Linked DNA regions of Nothobranchius furzeri. The protein of the gene in region 2 interacts with the protein of the main gene of each other region in a biochemical or structural test. Links are inferred from orthologs where the notes say so. Each region holds a gene or a part of one and is shown on either strand. Other genes may lie near its edges.

The links. The genes of interacting proteins can lie anywhere in the genome.
Region 1: the proteins of cd2bp2 (region 2) and prpf6 form a complex in vitro, tested with the Homo sapiens proteins (2 studies listed by BioGRID and IntAct). The link is inferred for Nothobranchius furzeri from reciprocal best matches to the Homo sapiens genes CD2BP2 and PRPF6.
Region 3: the proteins of cd2bp2 (region 2) and lrrk1 form a complex in vitro, tested with the Homo sapiens proteins (2 studies listed by BioGRID and IntAct, with this or other methods). The link is inferred for Nothobranchius furzeri from reciprocal best matches to the Homo sapiens genes CD2BP2 and LRRK1.

What each region holds. Positions count from the first base shown.
Region 1 is NC_091755.1:59,888,759-59,895,410, reverse strand, and holds the start of prpf6 (pre-mRNA-processing factor 6), read right to left. Parts: upstream 4,397-6,652; 5' UTR 4,342-4,396; coding exon 4,163-4,341; intron 3,981-4,162; coding exon 3,818-3,980; intron 3,738-3,817; coding exon 3,619-3,737; intron 3,488-3,618; coding exon 3,409-3,487; intron 3,158-3,408; coding exon 2,981-3,157; intron 2,605-2,980; coding exon 2,491-2,604; intron 2,413-2,490; coding exon 2,318-2,412; intron 2,233-2,317; coding exon 2,076-2,232; intron 1,992-2,075; coding exon 1,829-1,991; intron 1-1,828. UniProt on the Homo sapiens protein: Involved in pre-mRNA splicing as component of the U4/U6-U5 tri-snRNP complex, one of the building blocks of the spliceosome.
Region 2 is NC_091745.1:8,816,563-8,821,760, forward strand, and holds the end of cd2bp2 (CD2 antigen cytoplasmic tail-binding protein 2), read right to left. Parts: intron 3,997-5,198; coding exon 3,867-3,996; intron 3,732-3,866; coding exon 3,574-3,731; intron 3,495-3,573; coding exon 2,939-3,494; intron 2,864-2,938; coding exon 2,778-2,863; intron 1,785-2,777; coding exon 1,674-1,784; 3' UTR 1,502-1,673; downstream 1-1,501. UniProt on the Homo sapiens protein: Involved in pre-mRNA splicing as component of the U5 snRNP complex that is involved in spliceosome assembly.
Region 3 is NC_091749.1:7,095,803-7,102,511, reverse strand, and holds the start of lrrk1 (leucine-rich repeat serine/threonine-protein kinase 1), read right to left. Parts: upstream 4,397-6,709; 5' UTR 4,283-4,396; intron 1-4,282.

The sequences.
Region 1 (6,652 bases), on a different chromosome or scaffold from region 2:
AATGACTCAGCAGCATTGGAGATTCATCCGCATCTCTTCACATCAGTTATGTAAACTAGGGCTGCAACGATTCGTCGACGTTGTCGACAAATATCGACAGTAGAGATAGTCGACAATGAACTTCATAGTTGACGTTTTCGCCAGGCATGTTTTTCCCGACCGAGTGAGGCATCTCGCTTCATTACAATCTCTGCAGAGCGTCGCACATGCGCAATAGCTTCTCTGCTGAGCGCCAACTAACAGAAGTGGCGGCGTCCAACACAGCAGCTACGCATACCAAAACATCTAAAGTTTGGGAGCAGTCTAGCCTGGATTCGGCGAATAAAAAGATTACCTGCATTATTTGCAAAGCAGCCCTCGCGTATCACGGCAGCACCTCGCTGATGCACGAATACTTAAAGAGAAAGCACGTCGGACAGTTGAATGAAACAGAGTCTGACTCACCGCGGTAAGATTTAAACAACACGAAAGCCAATATGTTTTGTTTTGGATGCACGTTGTACATTTTTTTAAATGTACTTTCGCTTATTAAAAAGAGAGATTTCATGTTATGCCCGACAAAAGTATTTTAATTTTATTTATGCATTTATGTCTATACTGACTGAGCGCTGTGCCTACTTGGTGTTAGACGGGGAATTTTTATTTACTTTTAGTATGAATTGGCCTATCAGCAGCAAAGTTTAATAAGATATGCATTTTCCATTGAAGGACACGTCTTTCTTGTGTTTATTATCATGTTTCACATAATTAAAGCAATCTCGTGCTAAATTTAAGAAAAATGTAATAATTATCAGATTAGTCGACTAATGGTTTCAATAGTCGGTGACTAGTCGACTATTAAAATAGTCGTTAGTTGCAGCCCTAATGTAAACACCGACTGCTGTCATGACAATTGTTCCTGAGCTGTAGGAGACCTGCAACACTTTGCTCTTAAAAAACAAAAACAGCACTGGAACTATTTTACCAATCTAACAATCCTAACAGGCCGTACAAACACAGTTTACAATAAACCTAACGCAATCTTCACATTGCTTGGGTCCAGAATCATCAGTCAGAAGCAGAATCCTTTAGCCTTTAACAGTTTTACTAGCCTAAACGCCTCAGGAATAACAAATTAACAGCTGGGATCTGCAATTAAACATGGTATAGAGCCTGAGTGGGGAAGTTATTTATTCAGTGGCACCATTTGTGCACCGATTCTCAAATCAGCAGCATCTAATAATGTGACTCTGAATTTACTAATATTTTCTGGTTCTACATATTTCAAAACCCCAGAATGCTCTTTCCAAAAGAAAATTACTTAGTCAAGACGAATGAAATGCAGTGTGTGTGATGGTGGTGTGTTTGCATTAAAGTGTAATAAAGTTAGCGGTGTGTTTTTTGTGCAATTAAGTAAAGCAGAGCAGAGGCGTTTGAACAAGTAGAGGCGGAGAGGGCTCTTCCTCAAGAGGAAACTTCCATCCATCTCTGTCAGTCGGGTATGCTGCTGGGAAATATTGGTACGCGTGAGCCTGTGTGTGCATGTGTGTGTCGGGGCACTGACACCCTGGTTAAGCACAGAGCCTGGCCTTGACAAGGAGCCAGAAACACAGCAGCCAAGTGTAACTCCGATAGCTTTGTGAGGGTGATTTCATGAGACAATCAACAGATTGAGACTGGCTTTGAATTTCAGCCCTGGAGAAATGAGTGTCGTCCTTTTCGCAGCAGAATCAAACTCATTCACACACGAGCTGCTGGGAAGGAACGTGAACCTCCGTTTATAACCACAAAGCAGTGAGAAGCTTCTGATGATAGTTGCAGACAGAGAAAGCAAAATTAAAAGCCTTACCCTTTCTGAGGACCCTCTTCTTAGCACGGATGTCTGTTTCGAGCTCAGCAGCCCTGATGTAGATGCGGACAGACTGTGGGAGGTGGCGAACAGCCTGAGCAACCACAGCTTTAGCCGTATCACCAGGTTGGAGCCTTGCTGCCTCTAGCCACACGTCCTCACTCTGGTTAAGAGAGAGATATTTTGTTATTGAAGGTTATCAGCATCTAGCCTTTGTGCATGGAACCAAAGCAGACACCCCTTTTACCTTAGGACACATCTCTGTGCCCTTCATGATCAAGTTCCTGGCGACCTGCAGCTTGCCCGTCACCTCTTCAAGCCTGGCAGAAGCAATCCAGGCCGGCGGGTGATGGGGATTAGTCTCTCTCACAGATTTCAACAGCAGGCGAGCCTTCTTGATGTCGCTGGGTGAGATTTAGGTGTAATTCATCAAACACACATAAGAAGTTATTTCAAAAGGAAATTTTCCTATGGGCAACTTTTCTATACCTGATGTCTCCTCCATAAGTGGGGATCATGGAGTTGAGATCTGTCAGGTAACCCTTAGGATCCACCACTGTCTGTCCACTGACTGAATCAGACACCTTAGTGGAGAGAAAAACAATAAAAACAGGTAAAATCTTGATAAATGTGAAAGAAGCTCAGGATTTAGATAGGTCTACCTGACTGAGCCTCATATCCATGAGAGTGTTTCTGGCTTGACCGATTTTCCTCATATCCAAGTCTCCAGTTCCAGGAGTCATGCTGCCTGGGTATGGTGTGTTCAGACCGCCCAGCTACCAAGACAGAAAGCAGGAATTGTGTTACAGCGTGTGTGAACAGCTAAAGAAAGCTGAATCCTTTCTCACAGCTATAACTGACACACGTAAAAGATGCTTTATATTCTGCAGAACTAAACATGGAGCCAGCTCTGTCTAAGTAAACACTGCTGTTTCCAGTTAAAGTATTTAAACATTGCATGCATGAAATCAAGTAGATAAATGAATAGTTTCAAGTTTAAACATGAGGTTGATGCTCTTAAGCAGATATTTACTGACAATATAATGCATGGCTGCACATCTCTGAACAGTTATTCTGACTCCTGCTGGGGCAAGGTGAAACTACAACAAATGTTCGGTGACCTGCTTGTAGTGTGTTTTCATGACTACTAACCCCTTGTAACGGATCAACAGATGTGTGGTTTTCTCCGGTCTGCAGGTGTTTAGAGAAGAAGCTGTCAGGGACCGGGGTGAGCTTCTCAAAGCGAGGATTCCTCTGTCGCTTGTTCCTGGCATCTCCAACTTCAGGGATGCTCAGCCACTCCTCCTCCGACACCTCTGCTAGTTTTCTCTGTAATTAAATGATAAAACAGAGATGCGTGTCTGATCCTAAGAGAGATTAATAATTGTAATTTCATGTGCCTTTGCATTACCATTTCACAAATGGCAAATAAGATCACAAATTTGTTTAAAAGCACAAAAACATGAATGCAAACAAATCAGTATGCAGAGTCAGCTGTTAACCTGCACAAAATGCATTAAAGATAGATACCTAAAAATAATGGCATCGTGAATACAATAGAATAAATGTGGAAAACTTACCTTCAGATCTGAGAACTGCTGTTGGATTTTAGGACGCTCCATACGATATTTTTCTATTTCTTCCTTTTCTCTCAGCTCCCTACGAGCAACCACAGACAGTATCAGAAACACATTAAATCAACACAGGGATGAAAAAGGGATGCTCTGTGCACTTATTTTGTAGGTGTTTGGTCTTTTTTGGTCAAGAGGTAGATTAGTTTTATAGTTTACCTTCTTTCTTTGCGCCGTTCATCCATTCTCTTGTCAAGTGCCGCATATATAGCATCTGCTTCTTCATCGTCCTTTTCATAAGGCCCACTGGAGAACAAGCTGCCAGCGTAACCATTAAACTGTACAAGGAGCAAACAGGAGTTATTGACTGGATGCACTGAAGTATTAAATGCCAACAAAAGCATTTAGTTATTGAGACCTCGTCATAGTTGGTGTCGTTTAGATCTTCGTCATCATCATCCTGATTCTTCTTCATCTGGTCACCAACCGTCCTCTTCCCTGGGGGAGCATGCCGATCATCCACGGGGTCGTTGGCATCCCGAGCAGGACCGATGTCGGACCGGGTGGTGAATCCTGTGGCACTGAAACCGCAACATAACCCTTAAGATCGGAGATTTGTCCTTTGTTGCAAACAGCACAAACCATTGTTATAATGTATTTAAAATGTTGTTTTATTTGACACTGCATGCAGAAGGTGGACAATTCAAGTTGTCAACAAACACGCAACTGGAGGAGCTAACGACTTAGCATCAAATTAGCTTACCCTCTGCCGAGACCAGGAACGTAACCTAGCGGAGCGGGCATCCCCAGAAACGGCTTCTTCTTTTTCCCCATAAGCGGAGAGGCAAGAGGTATTACAGGGGGCGCGCCACTCGCCCCTGTGCCCCCCGCGCTGGTTTTGGAGACAAGTTTAGGTGTTTGTTTTGCTCCAGAGGTAGCCATCGTTGCTGCAACGACGTGCACACTCACTAGCAGATGAACAACAGTTTAACTTCCGCTCTCGACTCCTTCCTTTTTCTTGTTTTCTGTTACAGCGCCCCCAACAGGACGGGCTGATTGATTGACCGCTAAAGTTTGCCACACGGGTGCGCCAAACTGTAGAAAATAAAATAAAAATACAATTAGATGGAATAAAGTTAAACTGAGTAAATAGTATTTATCTTTTAGGATATGCTACTCTAAACACCAAAACACAATTGTCTAAAATAGTACAATGAGGGAAAAATATATACTTATATACATGCATATATACAATGTTTATATACAACATAAACACACACACACACACACACACACACACACACACACACACACACACACACGTGATATTTATTTATACTCAATTTTAAGATATAAAAAGAAAAACTAGATAAATCATAGTATCTTCATCCATCCTAAATGAACCACCTCAAGTTGTGCAAAACTGAGAACGGTCATTTTTGACTGGCCTAATGCAGAATGCCTCATCAGTATCTGGTTCATTAAAAAAAAAAAAAAAAAAAAAAAAAAGAAAAGCTGTCTCACTCCTACGTTGGCAGTCCTGGGTTAGAGTTTGAAGTGGAGGTAGGGTAGAGTAAGATAAATACTCATACATACTGTTGTCATTTCCTCTCTAGTTTGTTTAGTAAAAAATTATTACCTAGACATTGTTTACAGAAACAACTAATGGACCTGCAGCCCTAATTAAGACAAGGATGACTCAGATGACATTTGATCCCACAGATAATTAGGTTGCCAAATTGAAAGAAATACATCATTTTTTATGCTGTTTGAAAATTGAATACAATATTTTCACTCCTTGCCTGTCTGACTGCACATATATTATATTGCTTGTAATGTACATAGTTTTAGGTCAAATGAGCCATGCATTTGTGATGATTTCCATTAATTCCCATTAGACACATGCCAACATGCTACATCAATAACTCATCTGACATTTCAGGTTCAGAAACCTACACTCAAACAGAGATGCCAGAGTGCAATAAGTAATTACATGCTAACATGACATTTTTGGGATCTATCTCATGAGATGATGTGAAACCATTCATCAATTAGTTTCAATCGCATTAACTTCAGCCGTCTTCACTCCTAGCCTGGGATCCAGCCTCTACATCTTTCTTCATTTACATCGCCTGAAGGGATGGTGTTATTTTACCCGTGGGAGAGGATGTTAGGGAAGAAAATTGACCGTCAGATGGATTAGATGCTAGGTGGTTCACATGTACAAGGACAGATTTAAATATGAAGCTTAATTCAAACTGCATTTCCTCCCATCAGTGTGTTTTATGTCCTTGTGAGTCTTTAAATGATGATTTTGTTTTGATTGAATAATTAGAACACAATAAAATGCACATTTATATATGACTAAAGGAAAGAGCCACATATCATGTGTGTGTTTATCTCAAAGCTGACCTACAGATAGCTGATCAAGGTCGATGTCAGGATGATAAATGGAAAGTCATTCCTGATACAGGCCAATATTAACACCACATTTTTCCCCCATGTGCATGATGCATACACCCTGAATAATTTTAATAAAATGAAATAATTGTATTCTGCTGTGCTGTGCTCCAGAAGCCAAAATGATGTGTGTTTCACATAAACAATGGTGGTTTTATTTTAAAAATTTTGTTTCCAAAGACACAATTAGCCCTCTTACTACCTCACACACAAACGCACACACAGAAACTTTTCAAACTGCCATCTTGGCTGATTGAAATGTGTGTGTGCATGCATGTGTGTGTGGCAGCAGAAGAAAGCACGTTTCTGTGAGGGATGGCTGAGGGACCGTGGCGTTGCCAGAGATCATACTGTCATAATTTCCGTTGATTCGCTGCCATAAAATTGTTGGCAGTGTTTCTGGTGAATACAGCAGTGAGCTGGAAACTTTCTGCTTCAGATTAATTTGCATCATGATAAAGGCACAAATATGGCCTAGATAATACAATACTAATGCATAGATACAACGTGTCATTTTCTATTAGCACATTTAATATGTGTTATGGTCCATTCAGACTGTGACTGATGCACAAACAAGGAAATAAATGGATCGTCACCAAGCATCTTTGTACAAAAGAGCTGAAAGACAACCATCCAATGAACTGTCCAACTTTTTAACAAAGACTAATCACCTCATTTGTGCAGAAATGTATTCAGACTTGAGAAATTAAAAGAAACCACTCTAAATTGAACAAAAAACACTTTAATTTATGATGCAATTATATGCTGCATGGAAAGCTGCACAATTGCTCAC
Region 2 (5,198 bases):
TACAAGACCAAGACCTGATTCAGATAAAAAAGTAACCAGATTTTCAGAATGTTTGCTGAGAAATTATACTTTAGATTTTTTTAACTGGAAGCAAACTCAAAGGGAGAATTAGTGGCAACTTCAACTAGATTACAGTTAAGATTTTAATCAACAGTATTGAGGACAAAATCATTCATATGGATTTCAACAGAACAATGCGCAGTCAGTGTTAAGGGAGACAGTCATCGTGTTAAAACTTAGCCAAGAAAATAAGCTTTTGTGATTTTAACAACTGCAGTCCTTCCTCCAAAGTGGCACATATTAGACCCCCTCTCTAGGCTGCACCGTGTTAGCGCCAAAGTTGTTCAGCCGAAATCCTACAACCTTCACCAAGCCACGGGAAACACTCAATAATCACCTTATAATGTTACATCTAAATGAAATGCATAGCAGCTATTTGCTGCGAGGTTTTCAGATGCTGTCGGATCAAAACTGAGCGTAGTCTACTTACTGGAGAAATTTTTTTTATTTACCTTTATTGTGAGCCGCCGACAAAAAACAACAACAGACAAAAACCTAACCGTTAAAACTGTCCCAAATGTTGTCGTAGCTGACTTTCATCCGAACTCCGTCAGCTCTCCATGGCTGTATAGCCGACAGGGACACACAGTGTGGCAGTTTCTGTTCCAGTTAATAGTCGTAGCCCACAACTGTCATTTCTCTACACGTTCTTTGGTGCTTACGGGATTTGTGGGAATATTCTCGTTATGTAGCTTGCATGAACACGTTGACAGCAAATAAAAACCATTAGATAAACTCACCTAAAAGCTGTAACTGGACCGTGGGGGTGAAAGCCAAACCCGCCGTAAACAAAACATGACGAAAAGACGGCGCCCTACTGCGAGTAGAAAATGTATCCGTTTTTACAAATCTAACAATCAGCCCAGCCAATCACAGTTCAGGGTTGGTTTCCACTCGAAACGCCTCTTTGAAAGCTGACCAATCATGTTGCGTCTGTCAGGGTCGCTGGTTGAGGCCAGCCAATAGGAGCATCGGAAAAATTCACGAATTCTTGTATATCTAGCGTCATAAGCGAGTTTTTTTAATAACTTGACACACATTCAGGAAACGGTTTAACACATTTAAAACGCAATGTTGATAAAGCGGACACTATTCCTTTCATATCGCCTCTCTGATAACTTAAAAAAGCATAAAGCTCAAGCTTAAAACCATCTAAGGACGAATTTAAATTCACATTACGAAATTAATGTGCATATTTACTGGGGAATGGTTTATTTTGGTTATTAGGCATTTTCCAACTCTGCCTAAATACTGTAATAAAATTATTCCGACAGAAAATAACTTACATTGCCCTGATTTCCCTGTGCTCATGTTTTCTAACTTTAAATGTAAACACGTTATTAAGGGCAACAATAAAATGTAAAACTGCAGTGTATATGAATAATCAGCATTTACAAGCTGTGTCCTTGCTTCAGAAAAAGAAAGAATAGAATTTCAGCAATGATGCACACAAGCCTTTTATTTAAAAACTATCTGCAGAAAACAAAGGCAGGGCTAAAATGAATGGACCAATTCTCCTCCAAACCCTGGTGTATAAACAGAGAAAATCCAAGTAAAACATGAGTGGTGACAAAATTCAAGAGGGCTGTTTTTCATCTGATGGTGTACATAATTCATGTGAAGAGGTCAAAGTCTATTCTTCTGGAGTTGTAGAACTGAGATCCGTCCTGATCCACCCTCCTGCAGTAGACGCCGCTGCTAAAATAGCCTTCATCCACCCAGCCCTGAAAACACAGCAGTAAGAAAATAAAAGCCCACTAGGTCAGACTGGGGTTAATGAGACAACCAGTCAACAATTCAATTATTTAGATTAAATGATGGAATTATTGGTATTTTGAGGAGGGAAATAAATAAAATACATGTTTAAAACATTGCATTTAAATGTATGAGGTGTTATACTTATGTTTTCTTTTAAAATATAAATGTACAAGAAAAAATAAAAAATTAAAATCAGACTACTCACTGCCTAACCCCTAATTTCCACTGAATGCATAAGCGTCGCGTAACGTAATAGAAGCATTTGACCTCCAATCTCAGTCGCTTGTCCCTTCCTACTGGGAGCGTTTCAGAAATGAAACAGCGGCAAAAACATCACCAACAGCTGAACCCACGAGATCACGAAATCACCAGAGAACTGGAAGTTCACGCAGTAACAATGAAGAGGAAAGACGGCAGCATTTGTCTGAAAAAGACCTGTGGTTTGTTTTGTGTTGGGTTTACCTCGGCTACAGAGGCATCACAACTATTTTAAACAAGCAACTGGAAATCGGCACGTGTCTTTTATTATTTTTAAAGTGTCCAGATGTTTCCCAGTGCTCCTGTGTTTGTCCTGATCTGAATGGCTGAGACTGACATGTCATGAAAGCACAGCACGAAAGCACAGTGCTAACAAAAATAAGAATGGAAGCATAAATTTAACGGAGCAACGCGTCACTACGCTTCTGGGATGCCTCAAAAACGTTGGCGCTAAGCAGTCGGTGGAAACGCACCCACTGTGACGGCGGCTATTTGCTGTGTACTACACTTCGCGGACGTTGCAGGGTGCTTTGCAGACGTTATGTGATGCTAATGTGTCAGGTGGAAAAGCCCGGTAAGTGTTCTGAATTCCTCACAGACACACAAGAATCTACATTCGTAATAAAAAGGAAAACCCTCTTAATCCACATCAGTTTGGAAGTTGGGCATTTAACACGTCAGAGCTAAAATAGTAGTAATACCTGCATCTGCTGGCTGGTGAATGGCCCATAGACCTCAGATTTTTCCTCATTTTCCCATTTGTATTCCCACATCACTTCATCACTCACTGAGAAGAAAAAGGGGAATCGAGGTAAGTAACCTTCTTCTGAACTTAATCATTTATAAGCATGAAGGAAAGAACCTTGGTTGTCATCCTCTTCTTTCTCACCAATCTTCTCATCAAACTTATCACCAAACATGTCAAGCTCATCTTCTTCCTCATCGTCACTTTTCGTCTGCCTCACTGCTGGCTTCTTGCTGGTCATGCTTTTCATCACGTAGGCCAGTTTTTCATAGCTCTGCTGATAGATTTCAAACATCCCAGATCCAACCAGCCTGTCAGCTAAAGCTGTGAGCCTATCCAGCTTTTCCGTGTCTCTTGAAGCTTCCTCTGTGGACTGGTTTTCTTCTCTCAGCTTTCCCTTCTTGCGCCCTCCAAGGCCTCCTAACCGACGGAGCGCCGCGGCGACCGTTTCTCCAGGCTGCAGCAGTTCAACAACAGCTTCAACAAGCTGCTGTTGAGTGTAGGCAGCCAACGGGTCCTCTGCAGGCATCTCCTCCTCCTCTTCATCCTCCTGGTTTGCCTGCTGTTCTTCCCTTCGTTTCTCTTCCTCTGCCTCATCTTCATCACCGACTCTGCGTTTCCGTTTGGCTGCAAGACCTTTCTTTTTCTTAATAGGCTGCTCTTTTATTTTCACCTGCAAGAAAACAGATACTTCACTTACTGCAAAATGCAGAGCTTCCATTAAATAATCATTTGTCTGAGAATGCAATTACCCAGTCTATGTTGTCGAGCCAGTTGTCTCTAATTTGTGTTTCCTTTTTGATGAAATAGTTTCCCTCTGAATCAAAGTGGCCTTCCTGCATCTCCTCTTCCAGGTTGAAAGGTGTAATAGAAACTCCTTCGTCAAAGTCAATAGTCGCTCCTTCTTGGCCTGGAAACAAAGGTGGCACCACCCCAATTCACCACAAAAAGCATTTAACAAAAAACATTGCTTCACACAGCCTAAGGAAAACTGGACCCAGTTTACAACTTCAAAAGTATAATGGAAATACTTAACAAGACATACCCTCCACATCATCATTGTCAAGAATATTGTATTTGCTGTTGTTTGTGTCCTCTCCATCATCCTCTTCGTCACTGTCAAGGGAGTGTTTACCCTTAAACCTGGAGCCTGGTCCACTGACAGCCTCACAGCTCTGCAATTACAGCAAAAGAAAATGATGAACTAAATACAAAATAGCAGTATAACCAGTAAACGTAGAGTCAAAAGCAAAGTTCTGATCTTTGCATTAAAAGTAAAAATGCATTGTGTCTGAAGACAAACCCCTAAACCCATGGGTCAGTGCTGCGGCACAAGTACCACTATTACTACTTTTGCTGTAAAAAACAAAGGCATTAATGTGTCACTGGTTAAACAATTTGCTGAAAGTGATAGAAAAATAGAAAACTCAAAGATATGAGTGGTTAAAAAAATAAAGAGTCTTTAGTTCAAAAGGCAAACCACTCAGAATAAATAGGAAATGTACAATATTCTGAGAATTGTGGAAAACTGAAATGGAAGATTGTTAGTTACCATTCTTGTTGCTACTAAACTGTTTCAATAAAGTCTTTATAAGACATGCCAGCAGCAAAAAGTCTAAAATAGTACAGAGATCTGATTCAACTTGTTTAAATGGTGCATTCAGCTGCTGTATGGGATTTGGCACGTTTGAGTCAGAAATATGCTAAAGCATAGTCCTGTAAGACTGAACTGTTATCCGACTCACTTCATGTTTTGATTGTATATTGTTGTAATTGTATATCTCATTTTAATACTGATATTTTACTTTCATTTTAATATTTATTTTCTGTGCAGAGGCCTTGTGCGAGTCTACTTGCTGCAACACTGAATGTAAAATGATGTAGGACAAAATAGGTTAAAATAGGTCATACTTGGAGCCTTCGAGTTGGAGGGTTTAGGATTATCCGGGGGGGTGCTCATCATAAATTTGATTAAAAGTAATCTTACTTAAGAGCTGTGAAAAAAATCATACAAGCAAAATTCTGCTCACTACCGGAAATTTCTGAAGAACGCCTGAACAGCTCCACTCCACTGCATCAAAACAATTCATCACCCATGATCACAAAAGCTTGATTGCAGTTGTTTTAATCAGGAGTCAATCATGTTTTGCTCATAGGGCCAGGTTGCTTTGAAGAGCCTTTTTCAGCCCAAGTGCCCTCCAGTTGGGGGGTAAACAAGTGTCATAGCAAAAGGCCAAGGCCCAAAAGCTAATTCTGTTGTTTGAAAATTGAATTTTGTATTAACTCGGGTTATTTTTTAACATGTTTTTGTTTAGCTGATCTGACACGTTTATGTGTAAAAAACAGCAGAAACATTAATCTGTAACCAGGCTAGTAA
Region 3 (6,709 bases), on a different chromosome or scaffold from region 2:
AGATATTTTAGTAAAGCTAGAAAACTGTAAGAGACTTTAACTCCACTGAGTTTTGGCTAGCAGCTATGGACGTAACTGAACTACGGAAGCTCTGCATGGACAAGACGTCAAACACTCTAAACACAAAAGACTTCAATAAATGGGACACACTTCTTTCCTGCTAATAAATGTTCACAGTTGATGCTAATACCTATGCTCCTTCAAGAGATGTGCTCCTGGCTGCAAAGTATCGCACCTTCAAACACAAAATGTTGTCTTTACTTGGGAGTGTTTATGTAGACAAATAAACTTGTTGATAGGATATGTAGATAAATATGTAGATACATAAACTTGTTTATATGCAGTATAAGTTACATAGGGTTTTTTTTTTTGTTTCCAATAGTTGAAAAATGTGAGAAAATAATCGTGAATTAAATCGCTATTTGATTATTTTCCAAAATCGTTCAGCCTTAGTTTACAATCAAAACTTTGTTGAAGCTGAAATAATGGCTGAAGGAGGAGGGCAGCTCTCAGGACATTTATCAGCCCTCAAGGAAGAGAAAGTCTGAAATACGGTAATATTTTGGGTATTTCAAGAACGCCGAGGTACAATTGATAGAAGACGGCTATCCTGTTTGTAGCACATGCAGATAAACTTGTCTCTGAAAGGCAGCAACACTCTGAATGTCATGAAAAACCTGCGTGACCATCACCCACAACTCTACAGTCAATGCAAGGCAAGTTAACGCTAGCTTTAAAGCTGAAATGCGTGATGTGAGGACTTTGGGTTGAGGGAGAATGCAAAAAGTCATCCTATAGTGCAGCCGCAGCACCCACAGCCAGCATATAAAACGTGTCGCGGACACCTCCATATTGAAATAACGCTATGCATAACGAGGTTCCAGGAGCGGATAAGAGTTGGTCTCTCTCCGCATTATTATTAATTTAACAATCATTACTGCCTGATGACATTTTCCCAAATCTGCAAAGCTCACTGGAAGGACACAAACTGAGGACAACTATTCTGATATAGATGGTTTATTTAGTTGTCATAAAATATAACACGTTTCTGGCACTATAACTGGTACACCTAATACCCTCGAAACGACCAACAACACATCATGAAATAATAAATTGGAGTAGGAGATATAGATTTTTACTTTGTCCCACTGAGGGAAACAGTTTGGGTGCCCCTGATACATAGGCGGGGCTGGATAGAGTAGCCAACTACTGTACTCAAGTAAGAGCAACACCATTTCAACGCCTTTTACTTGAGTAAAAGTAGCTGTCCAAGAAATTACTCAAGGGTAAAAAAAGTATTTAATTAGAAGGCTAGAGTCCTGAGTATCATCCGATCTCGTATTTTTAAAATGATGACCTCAAACAGGCAAACATAAGAAGTTATGGGCAAATGTTGGTATTTTAAAGACTAAAAAGGTAAAAATGTTAATATAATTACAAATGGCTACATTTAGACAAACTGAGAATATTTTCCTGATATACAGGGTTTATCTAGTTGTCTGAAAATCTAACGTTTAAAAGATAATACCACGATCATACCAAAAACCTTGATTATTTTGGTCACAATAACAATGAGGTTACATTTTCACTAGGGCTGTATCGAAGCCTTGATAACGTCGACGGCTCGATTCTAAAAATTTGTCGACGTCAGATCCGGTAGTCGACGCACCACGCCCACTTGTTGCATCCCCAGGAATTTGTAAATAGAGGAGGAATCTGCCTGTTTTTCCTCTAGTTCGCCCTCTTCTCCGCCTTCACTAACATCTCCACCAAATACCGAAGACCCGGAACAATGTCCAGCCCCTACTAGATTCCTTTACTTCCAGGGTCAGATGCGCTGCTCCGTCTCTATCGCAGATGTAGAAAATCACCGGGAGCGTTTCTCCCGTCATAAAGGAGCTTCTTTCAGACATTAGGAGAGCTGTTTTGGTGCTAGCAGTCTCTCCTCCGTGCTGGTCTATTTGGTGGGTGTTTTGGTTTATTTAAACTTGGTAACTTGAACTTAACGTTGGTAAAGCTACTGTTAGCATTTTAGCTAGCAGCTTCTTGGGTTTAGATAACCTGTTACGTTTTGGTTAAGAGTTCATCTTTTTTGTGGTGTAGATCTCCCTTTTATTACATTTAGAGTGTTGTGGGGTTTCGGTTTAGTTTAAAATATCACCTTAAGTTTGGTTTAACCGCCCAGTTTAGAGTTTGGACCTTTGGAGATCCTTATTTTGGTCCAGAACCCTGTAATCTTTGCCCAGTGGGACATCCCTAGTTATTTGTACTTTTGTTTTAATTCCCCACAGGCAGAATTAGTTTTATTATTCCCAACCTGTGGATGGAAAGATGCATGTTTTTTTGTAGTTGTAAATAAACCTGATCATCATTTTAACTTTTAAATCCCGTTAATGTCCCTTCCTTTTTGCACACGAGCCAAACTCCCCAGGAAGGGTCGTAACACCACTCGCCTCACGCACATAAGTGACCAAAACAAAGCGGCATGGAGACACTCCATCTTCTACCACCTCGCAGCCTGCACTCCCAAGTTCTACACGTCACCAGAACATAACCAACCTCAACACAATAAAAGCAGTGTTATACAAAATGGAAGGCCTGTAGTGTTTATTCTCTTACAGTAACAATTTATCAATTTTTTTGAAGAATTTATGAGAGATTAATTGGTTTTTATTAACTGTGCAATAAAAAATAATCATTAGATTAATCGTCTAAATAGTCATTAGAATAGTCGACTATTTGATCAAATAAACGTCAGAATAATCGTTTTAAAAATAATCGTTTACCCCCAGCCCTAATTTTCACATTGTGACAACCCTACCGTCAAGTACCTCATTTACCTTAAACACCTGAATGGAGAAACAGGAAGTGGTTGCATAGGGGGAATCGTTGTATATAGCTGAGTCAGAGACCCCAGAGACAGGTGAGGCTGTTGCAAACGCATGATCGGACTTGATTAAGTGATTATTGAAGAAATGTACCTTTTAGTTTTGGGGTCTGAACTATTCATCAGAAACGGGTTCTTATAATATTCAGATTTTGCTTTTCTGATTGGCTGGTTACAGATCTGAAGGATTGCAAGTCGCAGATATTCATGGATATCTGCCAGGATTGATGCTTGGTTCTGAAACATTTTTAACTCTGCCTTTATATAATCTAAAATGGAGATAATGGAGTTTTTAAATGTGACCAAGCATCCTCAACAGTAGGAACGAGGCTAACTCTATGTCATCGTTCTTTTGCCAAGTCATGTAAAAAGGCCTGCTCATTGAGGTTGTTTTTATAAATGCACTGTACAACTCTTGCGGTCAGTTTTTGCAAAATATTTTAACAAATTGGTTTCGTATTGGGTAGGCTTAAACATCAGTCTAAACCCCTTCGGCCATAAACTACGAGTGAGTGTTTGGCTTTTTTATACTAAGAAACAAGAGTTGTTGTGATCGTCTTGTTTTTCTTTTTCTTATTTATTTTTTCCTGACTGTGTCCTGTTCATTTTATGATAGAATAAATAAATAAAATAAACATTAATCTTTAAAATCGTCTTAAATGATTGAGATCTCAGTGTCAGTCTAAATAATTGTGATCATCATTTTTGCCATAACTGAGCAGCTCTACCTAAATTTGTCGTTTTCCGACCACTTCGCTCAGCATTACTTGCTCCTGGTCCAGCGCACCTGCGTCTCAAACATCTGGTTTGTTTACCGTTCTACATGACCGGTGGGAACAGAATAATAACCCAAATGGTTCCACGTGGTCACTCAAATATATCATACAATATTACAGCGAATCACAATAAAGAAAAACACATTTAAAATTACATTTCCTGAAAAGCATTTACGTCACTGAGAATCCATTTTAATTCCTGTAATGTCTTAATGTTTGAACAATCCGGTTCGTGACCTAATGCTTCTGTGCCTGCAGAAGTCTGCCAAAGCAGGGCAACAGGAGGCAGTTTTACCTCATTCCAGGTGTTTTCTACTGATGTAAAGTTAGTCCAACAGCGTCATAAACAAGATTTATTACGTCACAGCTGACCTTTCTTGGACATCCTACGATTTCAATAAACGCGGACGGGTTGAAGGTTCTGATTTGGTTCCGGTCCACATAAGTCTGCTTTTATGACAACCGTTGAAAGAGCCGCGGTTGCGGAAGTGCGACAACAGAATGTCACTTTTCTAACTTATTTCTCCAGGAAACGTTCAGCCGAGTCACGGTTTCAGTCACAACCCGGTCCAGTCTCACCAAACCCCGCCTGCTTCACGGTTCTGATGACCCAACTCACCCAGGCTGAGATCCAGAGCCGCGTCTGACTTCCTGCTGCTTCTTGACACACCGAAACAAATCGACGCGCGCGACGACGACACGCGTGCCTTCGTTATTGAAAACCTTTCAAAATAAAGGTGCACATCCGGGTCATGTTTGACTCATTTGCTTACCAGCGGCTTTCAAAGTAAACGGGATCCTGTTCTGGTTCTTTCACCTGTAAGACGGATGAATAAAATACATCTATAAAAGTAATTGTTTACATTAAATTAGAACTATAAACCTTTGAAATGTATTCTCCATGAGACAATGCGTGACTGTAAACATCAGTGGCAGCTGGTGAGTTTTTTTTTTTTTTTTTTTTTGGTGGGGCATAACTTAACAGGTGTTCCGAAAAGAGAATGCCAGCCAAGGGGTATTATGGTCTACATTTTTGGAAACCAAGTAGGAGCAAGAGGACCGGGCTGCAAAAAACAATCGTGATATAAGATCTCTGTTTCTAAAGACTCATACTGTACTTCTAACTACTGTACACTGAAACAACTGGTTTTATGACCTGGACTGGGGAAGGATTGGGACTCTACCAACTAGTTTCTACTGACAAAGTAAAAAAGATTTCTTTCAAGATTATTCATCGTTTCTATCCTACAAAATCCTTTTTGAAAAGACGAAAAAAGGAAATGAATGACTGTTTATTTTGTAACCTCCAAGATGAAGATGTTCTACATCTAATCTGGTCTTGTCCATTCTCTGGTCAGTTCTTACAAGAATTTAATATTTTTGTAATAACGTATTTTATTCAAGATTTTTCACTCTCTAAGGAAAAGTTGATATTAGGTTTCTACTACTACCCAGTGAATAAAGCAGACCAATTTTAGATAACCAATTTATTAATATTGCTGGCTAAATTTCAAATTCATAAGACAAAATGTTCTAATGCAAAACCTTGTTTTCAGCAATTTCTCTGTGAAACAAAACAAAATCTATTATCCATTCAACATTCTCACAATGCAAAAGCAATCAAAAGAGTGAATATAGGCTCCTCTATAAATCTCAGCTGACTGGATGTGTTCTAGCTGTTAAATGTATGTTTTTTTTTAATATCACTTGTAATTAGTGTAATGTTCTGACTGCATATTAAGGTTTGTTAAAAATAAATAAATAAAAAGGACCTGGTTGCAGCAAAATGGCGACTTGAGCTCACCTCCAGTCGCCGTCATAGATGTCATATAGATGCCCTAACTGGGAGTCGACAGCGTCCTTACACAGCGGCCATCTGACTTCGGACAGCTAACCGTTCTCTAGCTGGAAGGTGAGTGTGCGGCTCAACTAAAGATACTTATAACTCAATGAAATATTAATGCATTTACAAACGGTTTGCCTTATTACAAACCGTATGATACATACACTTGACACGGGATACTTGCACTTGTTGAAATTACCGCTTTTGTTTCCGAAACACAACATATTTGTGATCAATGTGTCCCGCTAAGCCATTTTGCGCGTTAGGTTGAGTGCGAGAGCATAATCAATTTTTTTATAGGGTTCTATAAAACTAAAGAGTGTATGTAAATCTAATTTATGTCTAAATGGCTGTCTTGGTTTTAGTTTAATTAGCTGTCTGTCATGTTGGGAATATGTTTTACCCAGGACATGAAAGAATCACAGACGGAAATGATGGTAAGTGAATAACAAATAATATTTATTAAGAACGATGTGAAACTGAAAACGCTGCTCCAAATGGGAACAGGAGGGACCGAGATCTAGAATGAGAAAGCAAACTGGTGTTAGAATCATGAAACCCTGGAACCAGAGAACCAGAACTAGAATTGTTTGGAGTGTTATTCTTACTGGAGATGATCAGTTTTGGTGAGGCAGGGCTGGGTCTTTGGGGGCCAGGTGGGGACAGACAAACAGCAGAGAGTGAGGATCCAGGACGGGATGAGGAAACAGGTTGCGAGACAGACAGTGAGGCAGGTTATGATGCAGATCCGGAGGCTGGTGGTTAGGCAGGCTGGGAAGCGGGCAGGACGACAGGCGGGCGGTGGAGAGTGAGGAGACCAGGAGGACAGTGAGCGACGTGAGGTTGGATTAACAACTCCAGATGGCGGTGGGTGATTCCTGTGAACAGACGAGCAGGAACCTTCAGGACTCAGTAGATAAGGGCTGAACTGGAACGGGCAGACAAGATTAAAACTGATTAAAATTCAAATGAGACTGCGACTGGCTAGTGTTTACCCAAGATGCGAGTATCAACTGGCACTGGAGTTGCATCACACCACTCCTTAAGTACCCCTGGCCCTCTGATCAGGGAGATCAGGAACAGCTGGCTCTCCGACACACCCACCTGTTAACACAGAACTGGGACAACTGCAGGGTATTAAATGAAATGAATAGTGAGCAGGGCAGGCTGGTACAGTAACCCCCCCCCCCCCCCCCCCCCCAA